Linked DNA regions of Arabidopsis thaliana. The protein of the gene in region 2 interacts with the protein of the main gene of each other region in a pairwise test. Each region holds a gene or a part of one and is shown on either strand. Other genes may lie near its edges. The genes, in order: PARC6, FTSZ2-1 and RPL12-A.

Region 1 (7,889 bases), on a different chromosome or scaffold from region 2:
GCTCCTGCAAAGCAAAACACATAACTTATACTGAAAAGTGAAAACAAACATCAAATAGTGTAAGAGAAGTAATGTATTCATAGAGAGTGTGGATTGGTCAACCTTCTTGGCCTCCTCTCCAGTGGTTCTAGCCCAAACTGCGAGTAAGGATCAGATAACTCTGATAATGAGTAATGAGAAACAACTCACGTTTTTATTCAAAAAAAAGAGAAACAACTCACGCAAATTATAACTAAGAAAAATTGCACAAAAAGATCAAACCCACAAATTTCATATCTCATACAAAATCCTTAAGAAATCCTTAAGGAAACTCAAGTAAAGATAAATGGTAGTAAAAGACCTCTTTATAACTTGGAGGTGGACCTTTGGCACGGCTTGATCTCCTGACCTCCGAGAAATCCACTGGAATACGCATCGTTCTTGGCTTTGCCTACATTTCCATAAAAAAAATTGGTTAATTTCAGAAAAAGAAAAGAAGAAATGAGAAGAGAAGAGAAAGGAAACGTTACTGGTGAGGGCTTGGAAGAAGAAGAAGAAGAAGAAGAGACACGAAGAGATTGAGCAAGCTTGTTGAGATTAAGCTCCCCCATTCTCTTCTTGTTCTCTTCCACCCTATTCAAACGAATCTGTTCATAGCTTAGCTCCGATTCCACCATTTCTCTTAGGAATCCGAAACAGAGATAGAGAAACGAAAGAGACAGATCCAAGTCTTGCTTGACTCTTCAATGCGCTTTTGAGTGACCGTTGGGTTTCTTCTTTCACCGCTATGTATGTGTTTATACTTCTCCAATTTTTTTTTTCTTTTTATGTAATAAAAATCTTAATCATTGTGTCTAATCAAACAAATTGAAATTTCAAATTCTCAACAGTGGAAGGTCTGAGTAAGCCTCCATCGTGATACGTGAAGCAGGTATGGGCTTCTTAAAAGACGTTTCTTTTTTTTCCCTCCATAATTAACAATTATTTTGAGATCCCTTAATATTTTTAACTATTTTAAGAAAACATTTGATTTGATCAGTAACGCTTTACAATAATAATAAAAAAAATACTCAAGAAGTTTGTTTATCCATAAACACATTGAAATCAAAAGAATCTACAAAGACAAATCCTGTGGGTTACTAAGGAATAAAGAAACAAACCTGAGACTTTCCTACACCGTTAGGTAAACAAGAACAACCGTTAGCTAAATGATCCCATGTTCTACTGTTGATGCTACAACCTTTAGTTAGATGATGAGCTTTTTTTTCTGGGGGATTTTCACTTCTGTATTTGAATATCGCTTTGGCAGAATTTCCACAATCCATCTTCTTGCTTCTTCAGAATATATCGGATCTTGTAAGTGCTACAAGAAATTTACAAAGGCTGCATCAGTGAAGAAGATACCAGCTCAGTCCAAAAGTAACCCGAAAGCGAAATGTTTTTTTTTACCTATAATATTTTGCGTTTTTGGGCTGAGATTCATCAACTAATTCTGCTGCTTCCTCCAGAAGAGCTTCGATTTCTGCAGCCTCACCAGCAATACCATCTTCGAATATATGTGCTTGCAAAACCTCAAGATGAAGCAGAACGAACCTCCAATAACAGGATTTCGCCTCTGCTGTTTGTGCCAATGTTTGCCACTGCATTAAACAAAGAAATATTGACTCTACCTAAACATTGATGTTCAACTGTAGTAAACTAACATAATTAAGTAAAGGAATAATAGGAGATGTATAGAAACAGTAACCTGGACAAGCATGGATTCATCAAGGACTTCGGAAAGGCTATAAACTTGATGTGTTGGTCCAAGAGCTTCAGCCTTAACATTTTCCCACTGTCTCACAAGCTCTTCCGCTTCTTCTGTATCCATTGGTCTCTTATGCAGTTCTGACGCAGAATGAGACAATGATGTAGCTGATTGACCAGAGCTTTTCAGATACAGGGCATCCGGATGTTCGCCACAATGCATCTTTAACATGTCAATGAGCACTTTGATGTTTCCCACGATACCATTTCTATTCACAGAATCAAGGTTTTTTCTGAAATTCCCAGACTCTGTTTTCCACAGAAAAGAATCTGATTCTGAATGCGGCCTAGCAGAAACCGATATAGGCATACTCTGTAGTCTACCAGACCTAATGCCTGATAGCTTCAGAGAGAAGAACACGGTGCAACCCAGTAAAGCAACAACAGATACCCTTCCGATCAAACTGCTTTGAGAGAGCCACTCATCCCATATTTTATTTTTGTGTACACCAAGGTTCCTCTTCAGTTGAACAGATGGCATACTGGCACTGGTTTCATCATTATTCTTGGCTGATACCACTGGGCTCTGCAAATCTGTTGGTGTCAACTGCTCGACAGCTGTATAAAGATGTTGTGACGAGTTCACGAACTGTGTTGTGGAAAGTGGTCTTTGGTTCGTCTTATGATTCATGATCGAAGGTGACCCCATTTTCTTGTTTTCTGGATATTTCTTTTCAGCCCGGAAAAAATTGGCCTGCAGAAAGTTGTATATATGATTATCTTTCTGCATAAAAATAGAACTGCTATACAGAATCTTCCAGTAGTGATCTGATTCTTACCAAAGATGGAGAACAACCCCTTGTGTCTGGAAAGTTAGCAAGCACGGACTCCATTAGCCACGCTTCCTGGTCAATTTTATAGGTAGCATGTATGAAGGTCGCTATCAATCTTTCTATGAAAAAAAATCAGAGCTAGCGAAGAGATGTACATACTTGCAAAATTTCCAAATTAAATTTAGTGCATGAACCCAAGGGCTTACTCAAACAAATATTAAGATTTATGTGTATGTACAACCAATCGAAAAAGAAAATGTTAACGGCAGGCATACACAATGCTGTTAAAGCATATTCTATGAATTTAACTACCATCCACTAAATGTATCTATTTCCATTGTTTCAATTACAGCCTGAAACATAGCTCAAACTTATTCATACTCCACTAGAGTTGATCATGCCATTTACATCAGGCATAGCCCTCGCTCTAGTCGTAGCAACAAATGAACACATATTCTTGGTAAAAATCATAAGGTTTACCAGTGAGGGAGTAGCAGAAGTACTTCTCGACTCTTTCCCCAAGATCGAATTACGAACGGCAGAGTCTGAATTTGATTCCAGCTGCTTAAGTTTTTCCAGGGCCTCTGCCTCGGAACCCTGTGCTATCCAACATGTAGGTCCAGTAGCACTTAACTAAATGAACAACGCAAGGATCTTTCGAAGCAAGTGAACTTGAAGTAAATAAGATGCACAAGCATAGTTGATAGGGAAAAAGAATAAAGAAAGCAAGAGGAAAAATACCTGTTTTAGAAGAAATGAGCAAAAAGCTTCCTCAAATTTCAGATCAACACCTTCTGATGCTATGAGACATTCGCATATCGTTTTTGCTTTATTAATCTACACAAGCATACTGAATGTTATGCTTTATAAGCAGATAGAGTAGAGAAGAAATGGACCAATCAGTCTAAATTTAACAAAAGGAAAGAAAACGAGATATACCGTTTCATTTTGCTTGCCTGAAAATCCAACAGCGATGTGACCAAGTAACACCATGTAGAAACAATTAAAATCAATAACAACTCTTTGATTGTGGGATTCCAGTGATTTTTTATTTTTCCGTGTAATGGCTAAATCATCCCATGGAAGAAGATCGACAATCTCTGTGGCCAATAACCTGCTAATTGCCTGGCTCAAAAAGCATGGCCAGTCTTGAATTTGACATGAAGCTTCAACACTAAGGCCCTGTCTGAGCAGTTCGCGTAGCGCGGCAATTGCACCTCGCCTCCTCTCTGCATTTTCTGGCGTGCGTGGCAGGCCCAGTAGATCCAATGTGCAAGGTGGTGCAAGCTCCTCTAGTGACTCCTCAATCTATAAATATCAATTTTAACCCCTTAAAACCCAATATGCTGGTAAATTATGCTTTTGGACAATACGTACTTATATGTGAAGCTCCTAAACATGATGCGATTTACAGTAAGGCATGATCATGCACTTTTAATAATTCAAGCCAGTAACAGGGCTAAAAGTAAACTCAGAGAAGCTTTATATATACTAATGCAAGACAGTAGAACCTGTTACCTGAGTTAACAATGCAAGTTTCCCAAGAGTAACTTTACTCTTCAGAAAACTTTGAGCACGAGCAAGAGCTTCAAATCCTTGAGAGACCTTGTTAACCTCGAAAGCAGCCTTGGCAATTGCACACTAAATGGAAAACAAACATATTAGAGATAGAAGAAGCAGAGGATAGTGAAAGTAGATAACTAGTTCCCATTCTTAGTTCATTTGATTTTACCTCAGCAAGTGCCATAGATAAGAATATATCATGAATATATGGCTTTGAATCAAGGTTCCTGAGAGCAGCCCGGCCAATATCCAGCACAAGTTTTTCTTGTCCAACCTGAAGCATAGTAGCAGAAAGATCAGTACAAAACATTTGCAGGGATAAAACGCAATAAAAGGTCAGAAGTAGTACCTCTTGAAGAAGGCATAGAGCACCAGGCAACCATGCCCACGGAATTCTGAGAGGAGATTTAGGAGCAATCTTTTCTTTTAGGTTACCAGCATATTCTGATTCAAAAAGAAGTTTATCCCTAACATCCATGAGAAGATCCTACACATTAAGAACAAAGTATCAAGAAACTGAAGCCACATTCCCTGTCCAACTCTAGTGATACTATAGGTCTTAACCTGGCGAGCTGCAGCAGCTTCCATTGTATAACCCTCTTCAGCATCAGTTTTTTTCAAATTTATAACCGACTTAACGACCTCGTCTTTCTCAGCTTGCTCAGAAACTCCGATAAGCTGCAAAATCAATACAATTAACAGTATCCTGGAATAATGTCTAACAAACGAAACGCTACATTCTTTACACTCTATTGCAGAAATGAACTATGATACAATATTAAATTGCCAAATCAATACATCCATCTCGTTCTACGCGCTAGAGACTACAAATTGGAGGAAAATGTTTCTATTTCAACAAAATTTAGAAGGATAAAAACAAGTTCCACTTGCACTTCAACGAGGAGCTAAGTAGCAAATCGCGAGAGATAGTAGTATCTACAGAGATTCCGAAAAGTAAGTCAGTCGGAGCAAAATACCTGGTAACACGTAACCGGGAGTTCGATTGTAGAGGTAGATGCAGCGAGAGAAGAAGTACGAGACGGCGCATTGTCGACGACATGGATACCACCACCAGCAGCATTCAACCTCCTCCGTCCTTCTCGCTGAAACCGCCGCAAAGATAAACCAGAACCGAAGAATTCACCGGATTCAGAACGAACGACGAGGAGACCTGAGATCTGAAGCTCCGGGCGATCTACGACGAAGCTGGTGCTGCGATTGGAGATTCCGCAAAGCAGACAAGAAGAAGGGAGAACTGGAAATGTGTAAGCTACTGGCATTGCGCAACAGCTCCAGAAAACGAACGAACCCTAGAAGAAGTAGAGTGAAGCTGGAATCATGGTACAATTTGTTGGATTTCTTCAGAGGAGAAAAAATCGGAAATTTGGTCTCAAGGCTTTTGAGTTTTGACAGTGATTTTTGCCTTTTTCTGAAAGTTTCGTCTTGTGACGATAATAAGGTAACCCGCTGGCCGAAAGAGAGGCTCTGCTAATCTAGGACTAGACGAGACGAGACGTGGTCACGTGATCACGCCACGTGGATAATAAAGAAACATCTGGAAGATTATTTTATCCGTCCCTGGACATGGGCCTAGCTCTCGGCCCATAACTAATGTGCGAGAGAAACTACTGCAAGCTCATCGCATGCTACCAGTAGTCTAGTACTGATCAAAGGTTTAATTTGTGTGTAAGAAAAAACTTATATATAATTTAAAATTTGTTTAAATCTGATCAATATGATTTTTTCTGAATCAAATACCTGGAAAGTATATGTCTGGTGTAAACTTTTAACTTGATCAGATTTTGTAATACTTTCACTTAAGTTTAATATCATGAAAAAAGATTTAAGATATTTTGTAGTCATTATATTTTTGGAGGATAGCAAATTGCAACACTCAAACACATTTGGCTATATGAGAACCACGTTTCCTTTCTTGCAAATCAGCACCTCTTTTTTGTCCCGACTTAAAAATTCAGAAAAATAAAATGCCAATTTAGTAAAATAGAGAATATTTTTCACAATAATTTTGTGTGTTGTACAAGAAATGAGGTATTTCATTTTATTTTATTTTACTTTTTTCCTCTACAAGCAAAAACACACAACTACACAAGGATAAAACCTCTTGCCGTTGGGTTTATTTAGCTTCTTTGCAATATCCTTAATTTCGTCTCCGTCAGTAGCAGTCTCCGCCGGGAATATTTTTTTTCCGGTAGCTATGCTCCGAACCGTCTCTTGTTTAGCTTCGCGCAGCTCGTCCTCTCTATTCTTTCGCTTCTTTCGTCAGTTCCCTCGCTCTTACATGTCTCTCACATCGTCGACGGCAGCTCTCCGTGTCCCCAGTCGCAATCTTCGCCGAATTTCCTCTCCCTCAGTCGCCGGTAGACGTCTTTTGCTCCGACGAGGTTTGAGGATTCCCTCCGCCGCAGTTCGCAGTGTCAATGGGCAGTTCTCTCGCCTCTCTGTTCGCGCCGTCGCCACACAACCCGCTCCACTTTATCCTGGTTGGAATTTTTCACATATACTTCTTTTTTTCAATCTGTTTGAAGTTTAATTGCTAATTGATTTGTTCTCTTAATTCGGACATGTTGATTTGTGGCACTTGTGAAATTGTGGTTCTTACTTTAGGATAGGTTGTGAATTGTAGATAGGTGTGGTCCGTGTGGTGCATTTTTCATCTCATGCTTTGTGTCTACTTTGTAATCAAATGGAGCCATGTGTAACCTCTGCTGATGCGTGATTTTCCTTATTTTTGGTTGTTTGGATTCAGATGTAGGTCAAGATGAGGCTGAGAAGCTTGGATTTGAAAAAGTGTCGGAAGAATTCATCTCAGAGTGTAAATCAAAGGCGATACTCTTCAAACACAAGAAAACTGGTTGCGAGGTGATGTCTGTGTCAAATGAGGATGAGAACAAGGTCTTCGGTGTTGTTTTCAGAACTCCTCCGTAAGTTTACTTCATAATAATTTTTACTCTCTGTAAATTTGACCTGAGTATGTATTAGGCAATTGAAATTGGTACCTAAAGCTTCACTCCTTGAATTTAACTAATTGAAATGGTCAAGTTTATCTCTACTCATCAAAGCTTTTTTTTTCTGATTAGACCTAGTCATTTCGTTTCTTCTTCTAATATATTGGTACTTGTAAAGTGGTCTAAGTTTTGGAGGTTACAACTTGTCAAATTACTTAACGCTTTGTTAAAAGTCGATATGAGCAACTGCACTTTCAGTAGATATTGGTCCCACAGGCACCTCCTTGTGAAAGACTTGCAAAAACTAATAATGGAAGCAATTTTAGATCATAGTTTCGTTGTTAATGCAGGAAGGATTCCACTGGCATTCCGCACATACTGGAACATAGCGTTCTATGTGGGTCAAGAAAGTACCCGGTAAAAGAGCCATTTGTTGAACTACTCAAGGGAAGTTTGCATACTTTTCTAAATGCATTCACATATCCTGATAGGACCTGCTACCCAGTTGCTTCCACCAATACAAAGGTACAATGAGCCAAACATTAAGTCCTTCTTTTGTTGTCCTCAGTGGGCTAACCTCTTTCTTTCTGTTATTGTTATCTAAAGTGAGTCTATTTCTGATCACAACTCATCACTATCACTATCTATGGTAGGATTTTTACAATCTTGTCGATGTATATTTGGATGCTGTCTTCTTCCCCAAGTGTGTGGATGACGCTCACACCTTTCAGCAAGAGGGCTGGCACTATGAACTTAATGATCCCTCGGAAGACATATCTTACAAAGGTTTTATTTACCTAGG
Region 2 (6,565 bases):
GGATATGTGAAATCTGGAGATATGGATAAGGCTTTAAGGTTTTACCAGAGGATGGGAAAGGAAAGAGCAAAGCCAGATGTATGCACGTTTAACATTCTCATCAATGGTTATTGTAGAAGCTCTAAGTTTGATTTGGCATTGGATTTGTTCAGGGAGATGAAGGAGAAAGGTTGTGAACCGAATGTGGTTAGCTTCAACACTCTTATTAGAGGGTTTTTGAGCAGTGGTAAAATCGAGGAAGGTGTTAAAATGGCTTATGAGATGATTGAGCTAGGTTGTAGATTCTCAGAAGCTACTTGTGAGATTCTTGTTGATGGGTTGTGTAGAGAAGGTCGGGTTGACGATGCTTGTGGATTGGTGCTCGATCTTTTGAACAAGAGGGTTTTACCTAGTGAGTTTGATTATGGTAGTTTGGTTGAGAAACTCTGCGGAGAAAACAAGGCGGTTAGAGCAATGGAGATGATGGAGGAGCTGTGGAAGAAAGGCCAAACCCCATGTTTCATTGCTTGTACTACACTCGTCGAAGGGTTGAGGAAATCAGGAAGAACAGAGAAAGCGTCAGGGTTTATGGAGAAGATGATGAATGCAGGAATTCTTCCCGATAGTGTGACATTTAACTTGCTTCTTCGGGATCTCTGCAGTTCTGATCATTCTACTGATGCAAACAGATTGAGACTTTTGGCATCAAGCAAAGGATATGAACCCGATGAGACAACGTACCATGTTTTGGTTTCGGGGTTCACGAAAGAAGGGAGAAGAAAGGAAGGAGAAGTTCTAGTGAACGAGATGTTGGATAAAGATATGTTGCCTGATATCTTTACATATAATAGATTGATGGATGGCTTGTCCTGCACTGGAAAATTCTCAAGGAAACAAGTCCGGATGTTGTAACCTGTGTTTGATCTGTGTAAACTAGACCCAAGCTATATCTATGTATCAACAAATTTTATTTTGAACATATGAAATGGAAACCAAGTTGGTTCTTTGTTTGGTTGCTGCACATTGCCACAGAATCATGCGTCGGAGATGAACTTTTTTTATTCGAAAGTCACAGTTGTTTGCTGGTATATCGCTATTGATTTTTTTATTAACTGAATGAAAAATGACAATAATTTCTGCTAAAACTCTCATAATCTTATAAGTATGTTTATGGTTCGAGAAGTGTGATTCTTCTTCTCCTTTTTTGTTTTGGAAGTGACATAGAGAGAAACTCCGATTTCTAAAACAACCTATTCAAGAACACGACCAGAGGCAGTGACAGAACATATACACACCCACACAGATTCTTGATCATACATCAACACATCTTGCTGTATCCCAGAAGGCAGTACCAGACTACCAGTACACACACGTTTGTTATTGCTGCAGTGTGCAGGGTAGTGATTAGATTGGGCTTTAGACTCGGGGATAACGAGAGCTGCCTTTCTTCTTCAAGAACTCTGGGATCTCCACTGAACCGCTTTCTCTAAAGGAAGAAGAGGGTCTTCTTGTAGCTCCAACTGACGCAGCATCTGCTTGTACCATCTGAACTGTTCGTCCTTCTCCCTCTTCTTGTCGTTTGAAACCCGTAGCTATCAGGGTTATGCTTACCTTTTACCAAAAAAAACATCAATTCTATCATCTCTAGAGGTCTTATCTATGTTTAGTAGAAGAAACATTATAAAGGACATACTTGACCGCTGAGGGCTGGATCTACAACAGCACCGAATATAAGATTGGCAGTTGGATCGACAAGATCATATATTACTTCTGCAGCAGCATTTACCTACACAAGACCAAAGTGTATGAAAAACTATAGAGCATCTTAGGGGTATGAAGCAAAATCAGGCTTTGCTCTAAGTTGTCTATGGAAGGAAGAAAATAAATGATTTTAACACCCTGTCAATGCGTCTCTCAAGATCCAGTTATTGTTTATGGATCTATCGACATAGAGATAAGAAACAAAGATGAGAGAGAGAGACAAAAACCTCAAACAATGTCAAGTCACTTCCGCCAGTAATGTTCCAAACAATTCCAGTGGCTCTCTCAATCCCAATATCTAACAAAGGAGATTGGATTGCATTTAGCGCAGCATCTCTTGCCCGACTCTTTCCTGAATGATTACAAGTAGCATGAAAGAATCAGCACGTTGCAAACAAAACAAAACCTTGCGCAAAAGAAGTTCAAGGTTCATGACTTTGATTATTACATCATGACATAGATGCACAATAGTTGAGTAACAGTGAATATAATATGGTCATTTTCAGTATCCCAGTCACTAGACTGGTTTCTTTGCCACACCAATCTACTAGCTCATTAGTTCAATTAGACTATTTCGACACATATCTAGTGACTAATGGTTCTGCTTATGAAACTATGCAGCTAAATGAGCTTATCCATCATTCCAAACTTACCTGTCGCAGTTCCTATTCCCATCAATGAAGACCCCGCATTTGCCATTATAGCTCTCACATCAGCAAAATCCACATTCACCAAACCAGGAATCTACAAATCAAGGACAAACGTAGCTGGTAAATCATTTGCCATACACAAAAAAATGATCACAGGATGCCCATAAGAAAAGCTATACCGTAATGATATCAGATATCCCACGAACCCCCTGACGGAGTATATCATCAGCTAGATTAAATGCTTCTGTTACCGGAGTAGACTGAGAGACAGCTGTAAGCAACTTGTCATTTGGAATGACGATGAGAGTGTCAACATTGTCTCTGAGAGATGCAAGCCCTTCTTGAGCCTGAACAGTTCTTCTTCGACCCTCAAACGAGAAAGGCGTAGTGGCAATACCAACTGTCAATATACCCATCGCCTTGGCAATTCCTGCAATTACAGGGGCTGCACCAGTGCCAGTTCCACCGCCCATTCCAGCCTATAAAATGATGAAGAGACATATAAACCTCACTCTTTTGGACAGATGGAGACCAGAACTAGCTGATAAGTGATTGACAAATGACACATACCTCTTTTTCTACAATCAAAGTTTATAACTAAGAAGAACAAATGCAATAGTAATAATAAAGATTTGAGGACATACTGTGACAAAGACCATATCTGAGCCATAAAGAGCTTCTTCAATAACTTCTTTGCTCTCTCTAGCAGCATTCATACCGATTTCTGGATTTCCTCCAGCACCTAAACCCCTAGTCAACTCCTTACCAATTTGTAACCTATTATCAGGCAAAACAGGAGACATTCTCATAGCCTGGATATCAGTGTTGACAATCCAGAACTCCACACCTGACATTTCACTCTCTATCATACGATTCACAGCATTTGATCCACCACCTCCCACACCAATAACCTTAATCCTCGCCTCATTGTAGTTACTCGGAGCAGATGGCTCTTCAAAATCCTCGACAACAGGTCCAGAAGACGTTTCCTTTCTTGGATTGACTATTGTACTAGTCCCTTCACCTCTAAGCATAGATATTTCCGGGTGAAGGTTCAAGAAAGGATCTTGAGCTTGGCTTTGGTAATGCCGTGGAGAGTTTCTGATTGGAGAAGATTCAGATTTCTGAGCGGCAACAACAACTCGGTTTTTCTTACTGTCAATCGTTCTAATGGAGTTCAACCTGCCTAAATGATTCTCCGGTAAAACATTCTTTCTAAGAACAGTTAGTAACCGAGAATCCGAAGGAGTAAAACACGGTGAAACGTAAGTTGCCATAATGAGACCAATCACTGCAGGACTTTACAAAATTCAGAACCAAAAGACTAAATCCAATTCCACTGATTACTTCCCTAACAAGACCTGTTCATAAAAAGCTAAATGGTCAAACCCAAAGCTCTCAATTTAGAGTTATATGATTCAGCCACAAAGTAAAACACGAAATCCACAAAGTAGCCACAAAGCAGTGTGATTTACATTCATAAAGTTAACATAAACAAAACCCAGTCGCATCTATGCTCCATTGTTAACCAGCAATAGATATCAAATCCTCAGAAATTGAGAATCAGTGGATGGTTTAAGACTTAGAAGAATGAAACAAGTGAGGAACCACAAAACCCAAATTAAACTAAAATGCTTTTTCCCATTACGAATTGAAGAAATTGAAGATGGGTATTGCGAAGTTTGCAGCATTACATGAAAACAAAGTAGAGAAATGGAAGAACACTGAGAAAAGCTTAGATTTTTGGGTAAATACAGTAAGATGGAGGACGAAATCAAAAGGATAAAGCTGGAGGGAAGTGGAGAAGAGAAACCTGAGAGTAGCAGAGGAAACCTGGAAGAAGAGTTGGGAGAGAAAAAGTGTGAATTGAACAAGGAGCTCAAGGTCTGGAGGAAACCCACGAAACGGAGGGTTTTGGTGTTTTCTGACTAGTAAATATCTCAAATTCATTAAACCCCCAATAATTAAAAAATATATAAAAAATGCTTTTGTTCATAAAATTTTTATTTTTATTTTGGTAAAATTTTGTTCCAATTTATCACTGTTATGTTGGTGTTGGTAAGAAAAAAAACTATGGGAAATGATTGTACTTTAAATTTCATTTCATGTACTTTCATTGAATTTTTTGTGTAAATTTGCTAAATGAATTTTATGAAGGAAACAAAAAAAATTACAAGAAAAATGTGGTGGCTACATTACATAGTTGGAACAATAATGTCATCATTTGAATTAACTAAAAACAAAAAGCAACTCTAGTCGTTACGGCAAAAGAGTTTCGAGGTTGTGATATTCCTTTATGTTTCATGGTTTAGGAATATGGTTTTGAACTTTTGATTAGAGTTTTCCTTGTACTTTACTTCTTTTGAGTTTAGGTTAAGAGTTCTATTACTATTAGGAGTTGATTTGGTGTTATAGATAAGACTCATTAGCCTTTGTTCAACAAAAAATAGCACATACATATAGATTAATGACAAGAATGAAGAAAAAGAAGAGGACATATATATAGGAGAGATAATGGAACACCAAAAGCAAACATAATAAACAGATTTAATCTTACATTCATTTATCGCATCAGCTACATTTACGGTGCTGATGCAAATTTATTGAAAGCGATAAAATAAAAACACACAAACATGGAACACACATGTAGATATGTGACATTGATCATAAGCAATGCACACATTATTTAGGTACTGATACACAATTATTCACGTTTCATATTTGGTTTTGCGTCCGGATGAGATACTTAACAAGGTCCGTAGCAGTGACAGTGCGTCTCGTTGTCTTCCACTTCACATGCCCCAAACCAAGTTGTGTTGGTTGCCCTGCAAAGAAGGTCACACAATTTTGAGCCGTCAACTTTAACACACACACCCTCTTGAGCTTCACCTTTAAAGCATGTTTGGGCTACCGCCTTTGGGAGTCCTGTTTTAACCATTCTCACATTAATCTTTTCACATCCATATCGATATTAATATAGGACAAAGGAAGTTAAGAAAATCTTAAAATTACCATTAGAAACCAACAAGATGATCATCAAGAGAGCAGAGAAGTTAACTATGAGCTTTGCCATATTTCTTTGTTGTTGTTTTGTGTTTGCTTCTTCTTCTTTTTTTAATAGAGCAGAGATTGATGAGCTTGTAGCTAACTATTTGAAAGCATAGAATCATTTATAGGGCAAACTCGTTGACTTTTATTTCTTCTATTTGAATCCAAGACATATATAGTTTATTAGTTTTTGTGTAATATGGATTAATGTATATAATGTCGCCATAATTTGAATTGCTAGTTGACAAAACAGAAATGAATTGCACGATCCACCCAATGTCTCGCTAATGATCTCTCTATGTTGCATCCAAATTGTAACAATTTTTTATATAGCAACATATTATAATTTTAATGTCATTATTTTGGCCCAACTAAAATTCAAGGGATGAGGATAAAGTATATAGAACACCAAACCTTGTATCATACGTATGAATACACAGAAATAGTTAAATATAATTATTGAAGTGTTCTTAGTAAAGTGCCTTGACTCAACTTAACATAATGAGCACATATAATGACATTGATATTGTATTGACTCTTTGTTTCATATGATACTATACCAAATAAATTTCTTATTATATAAAATGTTTTCATAACAATTTGACATGTCGCATAATTATAATCTCATGTTTTGCGATTAGCTTTTCCGCCAAAAAATGCTATATAACCAGAGGCTTAGAGTGAGAATAAAACAAGAAACAAATCAAACACAACAATTTTCCGCTTGTAAATGTGATCGTAGCCTTGGAGGACTTATAACTTAGGGTTCATGGGAGAATGTTAGTGGACGAATACGGGAGCGTTGACACGTTTGGTAGTTATTATTATGTTGTGTAATTAAGACTTTTTCTGGAAGCTAGATCGTTTCATCATCCCATATTCAATACAAACTTTATATATTACTAATACTAATTCTTTCGGGCTTTACAGGCCTAAACAGTTCTTAAGACTTGTTCACTAAATTATATATTAAAGTACAATGGCTCTTTAAATATCAACTTGTAACAAATTTGCTTGGACGTCTTCTTCCTCTCTGAAAAATCTTTAGCACAAATTTGAAATCCTCGAATATTTGGTCGGCGATGAGAAAGCAAGTATTAGCATTGAGTGACACGGCGGCTGCGAGG
Region 3 (4,696 bases), on a different chromosome or scaffold from region 2:
TGATTAAGATTTAGTTGATTTCGTATATAAAATATGAAATTCTTTTACGAACTTATTTGTTTATAATTTGCTAACAGATAGATATTTGAATATTCAGTATATTTTGCTAACCCGTCTGTAGATCCAATAAACCCTATAATTAAGAGATTAATATTGTCGTTAAATGATTTTGGTAACCTTAATGACGTCATTAAAGGATTTTTTTTATTAAACTTTTCTAATGGCATTGTCATGTAATTAATTACAAAAGTTAAGGTTACATTTAAAATGTACTTCCTAAATAATATAGTAGGATACCTAAAGTTATCATAATGAAAATAAACTAATAGAAAAAATTGAATCTAAATCCTATAATCATCACTAATTAAATCCACCCCATCCCATATCATGATTATTAAAAATTTCATATATATAAAATAAAACCATAACTTAAATGTAATAAAATATCCTAGATTAAATAAGAAAAGAATCCAATTTTATTTACAAAGTAAAAAACTCATCATATTTCTCTCTCTATATATACAGATATATATATATATATATTAATAAGGGTTTTGAGTAATATTGTGTTCCATTAGCAAATATTAGAAAAATAAACAATACAAAAACCAAAAATGGCTTCATCAAGCAAATGCGCCTTCCTTGTGTTCTTATGCATGATTGTTCTTCTCGCCCCAAGTATGCCAAAAAAACGTTTATATTTTTTTTCTGTTTAATTCAATTTATTCATATATACTGAAGTATAACCAAAGTAGCAAGATTCATGAGTTAACACTCAACACTAACTAGCAAACCGAATACTTATTTTATATCAGACATTAGATCATATCTCCATACATATTGTATACACTATTATTTTCACAATACATTGTGATTCACAATACATTGTGATATTAACTTGTTATCACAAAAAATAAAATAAAATACATAGTGATATTGCGTTGTTACCAGCTGCAAGAGATTCTTGTCGAGTGAATTTTCTTTTTCTTTTGCCTTTATGTCTAAACGAGTAACGACTTTTTTTCTAATATTACAACAATCTTTGGAAAACGATAGGTGAAGTACACGCAAAATCTATGGCCAAAGCTCAAGGAGGGTGGTACCTTGTGGAAGGTCTATGCTCAAAATTTCCGGACTGCAATAAGCACTGCAAAGAACAAGGTTTCTTAGGTGGACAATGCCTCAAACTTGGTGTTAATATGCTGTGTTTTTGTATTCATACATGATCTCGTTTATAATATATCCTAAATATTTCATGAGTGTTACAATACTAAGTAAAAAAATGTAGCAGTGACATTTGTGCTTATTATTTTTAACTCTGTTTCATGTTAAGCAACTACGAGTGATTTGCCTCATTTAGGCATTTCAACAAACATGTTATGTGCAGCTACCAAAAAGCTCACATCAATGGCGAAATCAGCTAATGGGAAACCAAATGTGATTCAAATTACAACAATTTCTCAACAATTCCAGACGCAAACTATACTAAACAACACAAAAGACCAATCAAATTCCAGAAAAGATAACAACTTCTTTTTTTTTTTTTATAAAAACCTTAAGCAATGGAGACTTTAGCACCAGCTTCTTCAAGAGTCTTCTTAGCTTCTTCAGCTTCATCTTTAGTGATACCTTCTTTAAACTTCTTTGGTAATCCTTCGATTAGCTCCTTAGCTTCCTTCAACGCCAAGCTAGTCAAAGCCCTAACAGCTTTAATTACTGCAATACGAGAACTACTCGGAACTTCATTGATAACCACATCGAACTCTGTTTGCTCCTCCACTACAGCCGCCGCGCCACCGTCGGCTGGAGCAGCAACCGCCGCTGCTGCGGGGGCTAAAGAGAGTGGGGAGACACCGAATTTGTCTTGGAGATAGTCGACGAGGATACGAGCTTCTTCGAGGGTTAGGGATGAGATTTCGGATCCGATCTTCTCGATTTTCTCCGGAGCTTCGACGGCGGCGATTGGACGGAGATGGGTTGCACGGTGGGTCAATGTGGATGATGAACCACCACCGAAGCGAGAGGGGAATTCGATGGTGGTGGTTCGGGAAGGGAAGTGATTGATGGAAGCGAGAGTAGGATAAGATGAGGAACGGATTGTTGTTGCGATTGAGAGAGTCGTCGACGCCATTTTTGTTTCACTCTTTGGCTTTTCTTCTGAGTTTTTCTTCTCTCTGTGTGTTTTGATTGGATTGTGTGTGAGGAAGATGAAAGATGAGAGGATAGAAAAATGATGGATAAGGGGTATTTTGGGGAATAGAATATTGCGTACGTTTGCTATCATGCGCATATACAAATAGATGAGGTTGTATCGTTTGTATGTTTACGAAAATACCCGTGAGGCCTGACGTTGAGGAGTTAAAAAAATAAAAAGGGGCGTTCCGAGAATCGAACTCGGGACCTCTCGCACCCAAAGCGAGAATCATACCACTAGACCAAACGCCCTTGTTGTTCTAATCACATTTAGTTTGTTTATTAATTATGATTTCTGTCATAACAATTAAATAAGTGTGCAAAATTATTTGTTAGCTAGCTCCTCATTGCTATTTTTCTAATTTTATGGGTATTGCCGTATTGCCGAATTAACTCTACCAATAATCACAAGATTATGAACACTAACAAGTAACAAAGGGCTTCAAAGACGTTGAATCAAAGTTTGTAGTGGAAACGTTTATGCATTTTAAAAGAAGCATATAATAATCGTATACCAATGTAATCACATTGAGTAGTTTGGACTCTCCCTTCTATATTTCTCCCACCAATGCTACAAACAACAGCAAGTTCCATTTCCAATGAATCCAACACTTGAAGAGTTTTTTTTTTCCTCACCATCTACGGCGTCTCCTCCCATACCAAAACGCGAACGCAGCCACAGATGCAGCCACAACGACTCCAGTAGCTGCGTGCCATACATACAAAGGCTTCTTTATCATGACCACACTTGCAGATTGCTTCACCATCTCAGCGCTCGGAATATCCTTAACTTCAGGAACTTTCTGCTGACTCACAACCGTGTGAGCAAACCCGAGTCCTTCTCTTTCCAATTCTTCCAAATCAATAGTCACAGCTGGTTTCAATTGTGTCGCCTTTGAGATAGTTTCATATTCTTCTTTAGTGCCTCCTTCAAGAAAAGATCCAACAAGGTGACCCTTTTTAACCCAATACGCTCCAAATGATTTCCCGTCTTCATACTCTCCAAAGTGCACAACATCACCTGTAGGGTCTCCATAGAATTGCCATGAGAATGCGAAGACCCTTGAGTAGAAAAATGGTAAGTAATCAAAGTCTCCGGTCTTTATTGGATCCATGATGGCTGAAACTGCGTGTCGCGCAGATTTCCTAGCTGAGTCCACGTGCTCAAGCCTCCTCATTTCGCCAAATAGTTTCACTGGAAATGTAGCTACATCGCCTATTGCATACACTGAGCTGTCACTTGACTGCATTCTGCTGTTCACTTTTATCCCTCCTTTCTCTATTGTTAACTGTCCTTCAAACAAGCTTGTGTTTGGTCGTATCCCGATACCAACCACAACCAAGTCGGCTGGTAAGTGGCTCCCGTCTTTGAGATTAACTGCAGTAACCTGTAAATCGAAAACCAAAAAACCTCATATCAATAAACAAATACATTGAACAAGGCTCAAGATTTCATAGTTTGAGTACTGGACCAGAAGTATCTGTGGTTCTACTGATTCTTGCCATCCTTAGTTGTATACATAGATGCAACGTACCAGACATTTTTCGAGTTGAATCTCAAGCTAAAAGAAACGATCTTACCTTTTTGTTCGAGTCAAACTCAAATGATGTCAAAACCGTTCCTTTTATAAATTTTACGCCTTTAGCCCTGTAGTAGTCTTCATACAAACTTGCAATCTTGGGCGTAAAGAGACGTGCCACTGTCATAAGAAACTAAAAAGGTCAAGCTAAATACACAACCTTTCTCTCGTACACGTAAGTTTAGTAATAATCGAGAGAACTTACTGCAGTGAGCCTCTGGGAAAACCATCGTCACATTGATTTTGTTGATCACTAAAGATGCAGCACACTCCATACCGATATAGCCACCGCCGATAACAACCGCATTCCCGTTGGAGCTTGATTGAATCACAGTGGCAAGCCTATTTGCATCAGCTAGATCTCGTAAGTAACAAACATTTTCAGCATCTGAGCCTTCCACCCCAAATTCTTCAAGCTTCAACGCCTAGTTGCACGAGCCAAATGTGACAAGAATAAGGCCACAACTTTAGCAGTTTAATGTTCTATGTTTTAAAATAGCACAAATTCCTTTGGCAATTTTCAGGAGTGAGCAGATTTGCCTACAACAATGTTCACAACATCTACTAGACATTCAACTATTACAAAAACCCATTGTCTTCAGCCAATTAATTACAAAATCATAAAGAGGATAATACGTTGTTAAAAACCAGTGATTTATCGTTTATGCTAATAGTCACCGGAACACACTCTTACTTTGGATAAACGAAAACATAAATATTATTGTGCAAGCCATACCCGGGCACCTGTTGCAATGATCAAGAATTTGTAACTTATAGTCTCCCCTGTGCTCGATAAAAGAGTCTTCCTCCTCACATCAACGGACTTAACACGAGTTCCAAGTACCAATTCAATTCCTGACAAAAGTATTATCAGAAAAGAATCCCGTAGACATACCACCAAGTAAAACAGTAGTTTCTCCAAA

What was found.
Region 1: the proteins of FTSZ2-1 (region 2) and PARC6 interact in a two-hybrid assay, tested with the Arabidopsis thaliana proteins (one study listed by BioGRID).
Region 3: the proteins of FTSZ2-1 (region 2) and RPL12-A interact in a protein complementation assay, tested with the Arabidopsis thaliana proteins (one study listed by BioGRID).

Annotation. Positions count from the first base shown.
Region 1 is NC_003074.8:6,630,322-6,638,210, reverse strand, and holds PARC6 (plastid division protein), read right to left. Parts: upstream 5,575-7,889; 5' UTR 5,402-5,574; coding exon 5,099-5,401; intron 4,800-5,098; coding exon 4,686-4,799; intron 4,609-4,685; coding exon 4,471-4,608; intron 4,396-4,470; coding exon 4,291-4,395; intron 4,200-4,290; coding exon 4,077-4,199; intron 3,867-4,076; coding exon 3,498-3,866; intron 3,396-3,497; coding exon 3,300-3,395; intron 3,156-3,299; coding exon 3,039-3,155; intron 2,631-3,038; coding exon 2,565-2,630; intron 2,480-2,564; coding exon 1,727-2,479; coding exon of another isoform or gene 1,664-1,726; exon of another isoform or gene 1,620-1,663; coding exon 1,429-1,619; intron 1,343-1,428; coding exon 1,258-1,342; 3' UTR 919-1,257; downstream 1-918. Other genes in the region: AT3G19184 (AP2/B3-like transcriptional factor family protein), read right to left, coding at 1-4, 103-137, 341-430, 510-656; PREP1 (presequence protease 1), read left to right, coding at 6,337-6,622, 6,889-7,063, 7,438-7,612, 7,741-7,873. UniProt on the Arabidopsis thaliana protein: Component of the plastid division machinery required for PDV1 localization to constriction sites. Involved in chloroplast division site placement. Required for the proper formation of FtsZ rings at the division site in nongreen plastids (e.g. etioplasts).
Region 2 is NC_003071.7:15,196,266-15,202,830, forward strand, and holds FTSZ2-1 (Tubulin/FtsZ family protein), read right to left. Parts: upstream 4,339-6,565; 5' UTR 4,204-4,338; exon of another isoform or gene 3,752-4,203; 5' UTR 3,668-3,751; coding exon 3,035-3,667; intron 2,870-3,034; coding exon 2,570-2,869; intron 2,485-2,569; coding exon 2,394-2,484; intron 2,093-2,393; coding exon 1,968-2,092; intron 1,766-1,967; coding exon 1,673-1,765; intron 1,591-1,672; coding exon 1,396-1,590; 3' UTR 1,104-1,395; downstream 1-1,103. Other genes in the region: AT2G36240 (pentatricopeptide (PPR) repeat-containing protein), read left to right, coding at 1-891; AT2G36255 (Defensin-like (DEFL) family protein), read right to left, coding at 5,137-5,315, 5,403-5,463; AT2G36260 (Iron-sulfur cluster biosynthesis family protein), read left to right, coding at 6,521-6,565. UniProt on the Arabidopsis thaliana protein: Exhibits GTPase activity which converts GTP ligands to GDP.
Region 3 is NC_003074.8:10,316,011-10,320,706, reverse strand, and holds RPL12-A (ribosomal protein L12-A), read right to left. Parts: upstream 2,203-4,696; 5' UTR 2,132-2,202; coding exon 1,556-2,131; 3' UTR 1,555-1,555; exon of another isoform or gene 1,275-1,554; intron 1,227-1,274; coding exon of another isoform or gene 1,057-1,226; 3' UTR 787-1,056; downstream 1-786. Other genes in the region: AT3G27831 (Gamma-thionin family protein), read left to right, coding at 615-678, 1,057-1,226; MDAR4 (monodehydroascorbate reductase 4), read right to left, coding at 2,826-3,581, 3,775-3,893, 3,979-4,198, 4,510-4,628.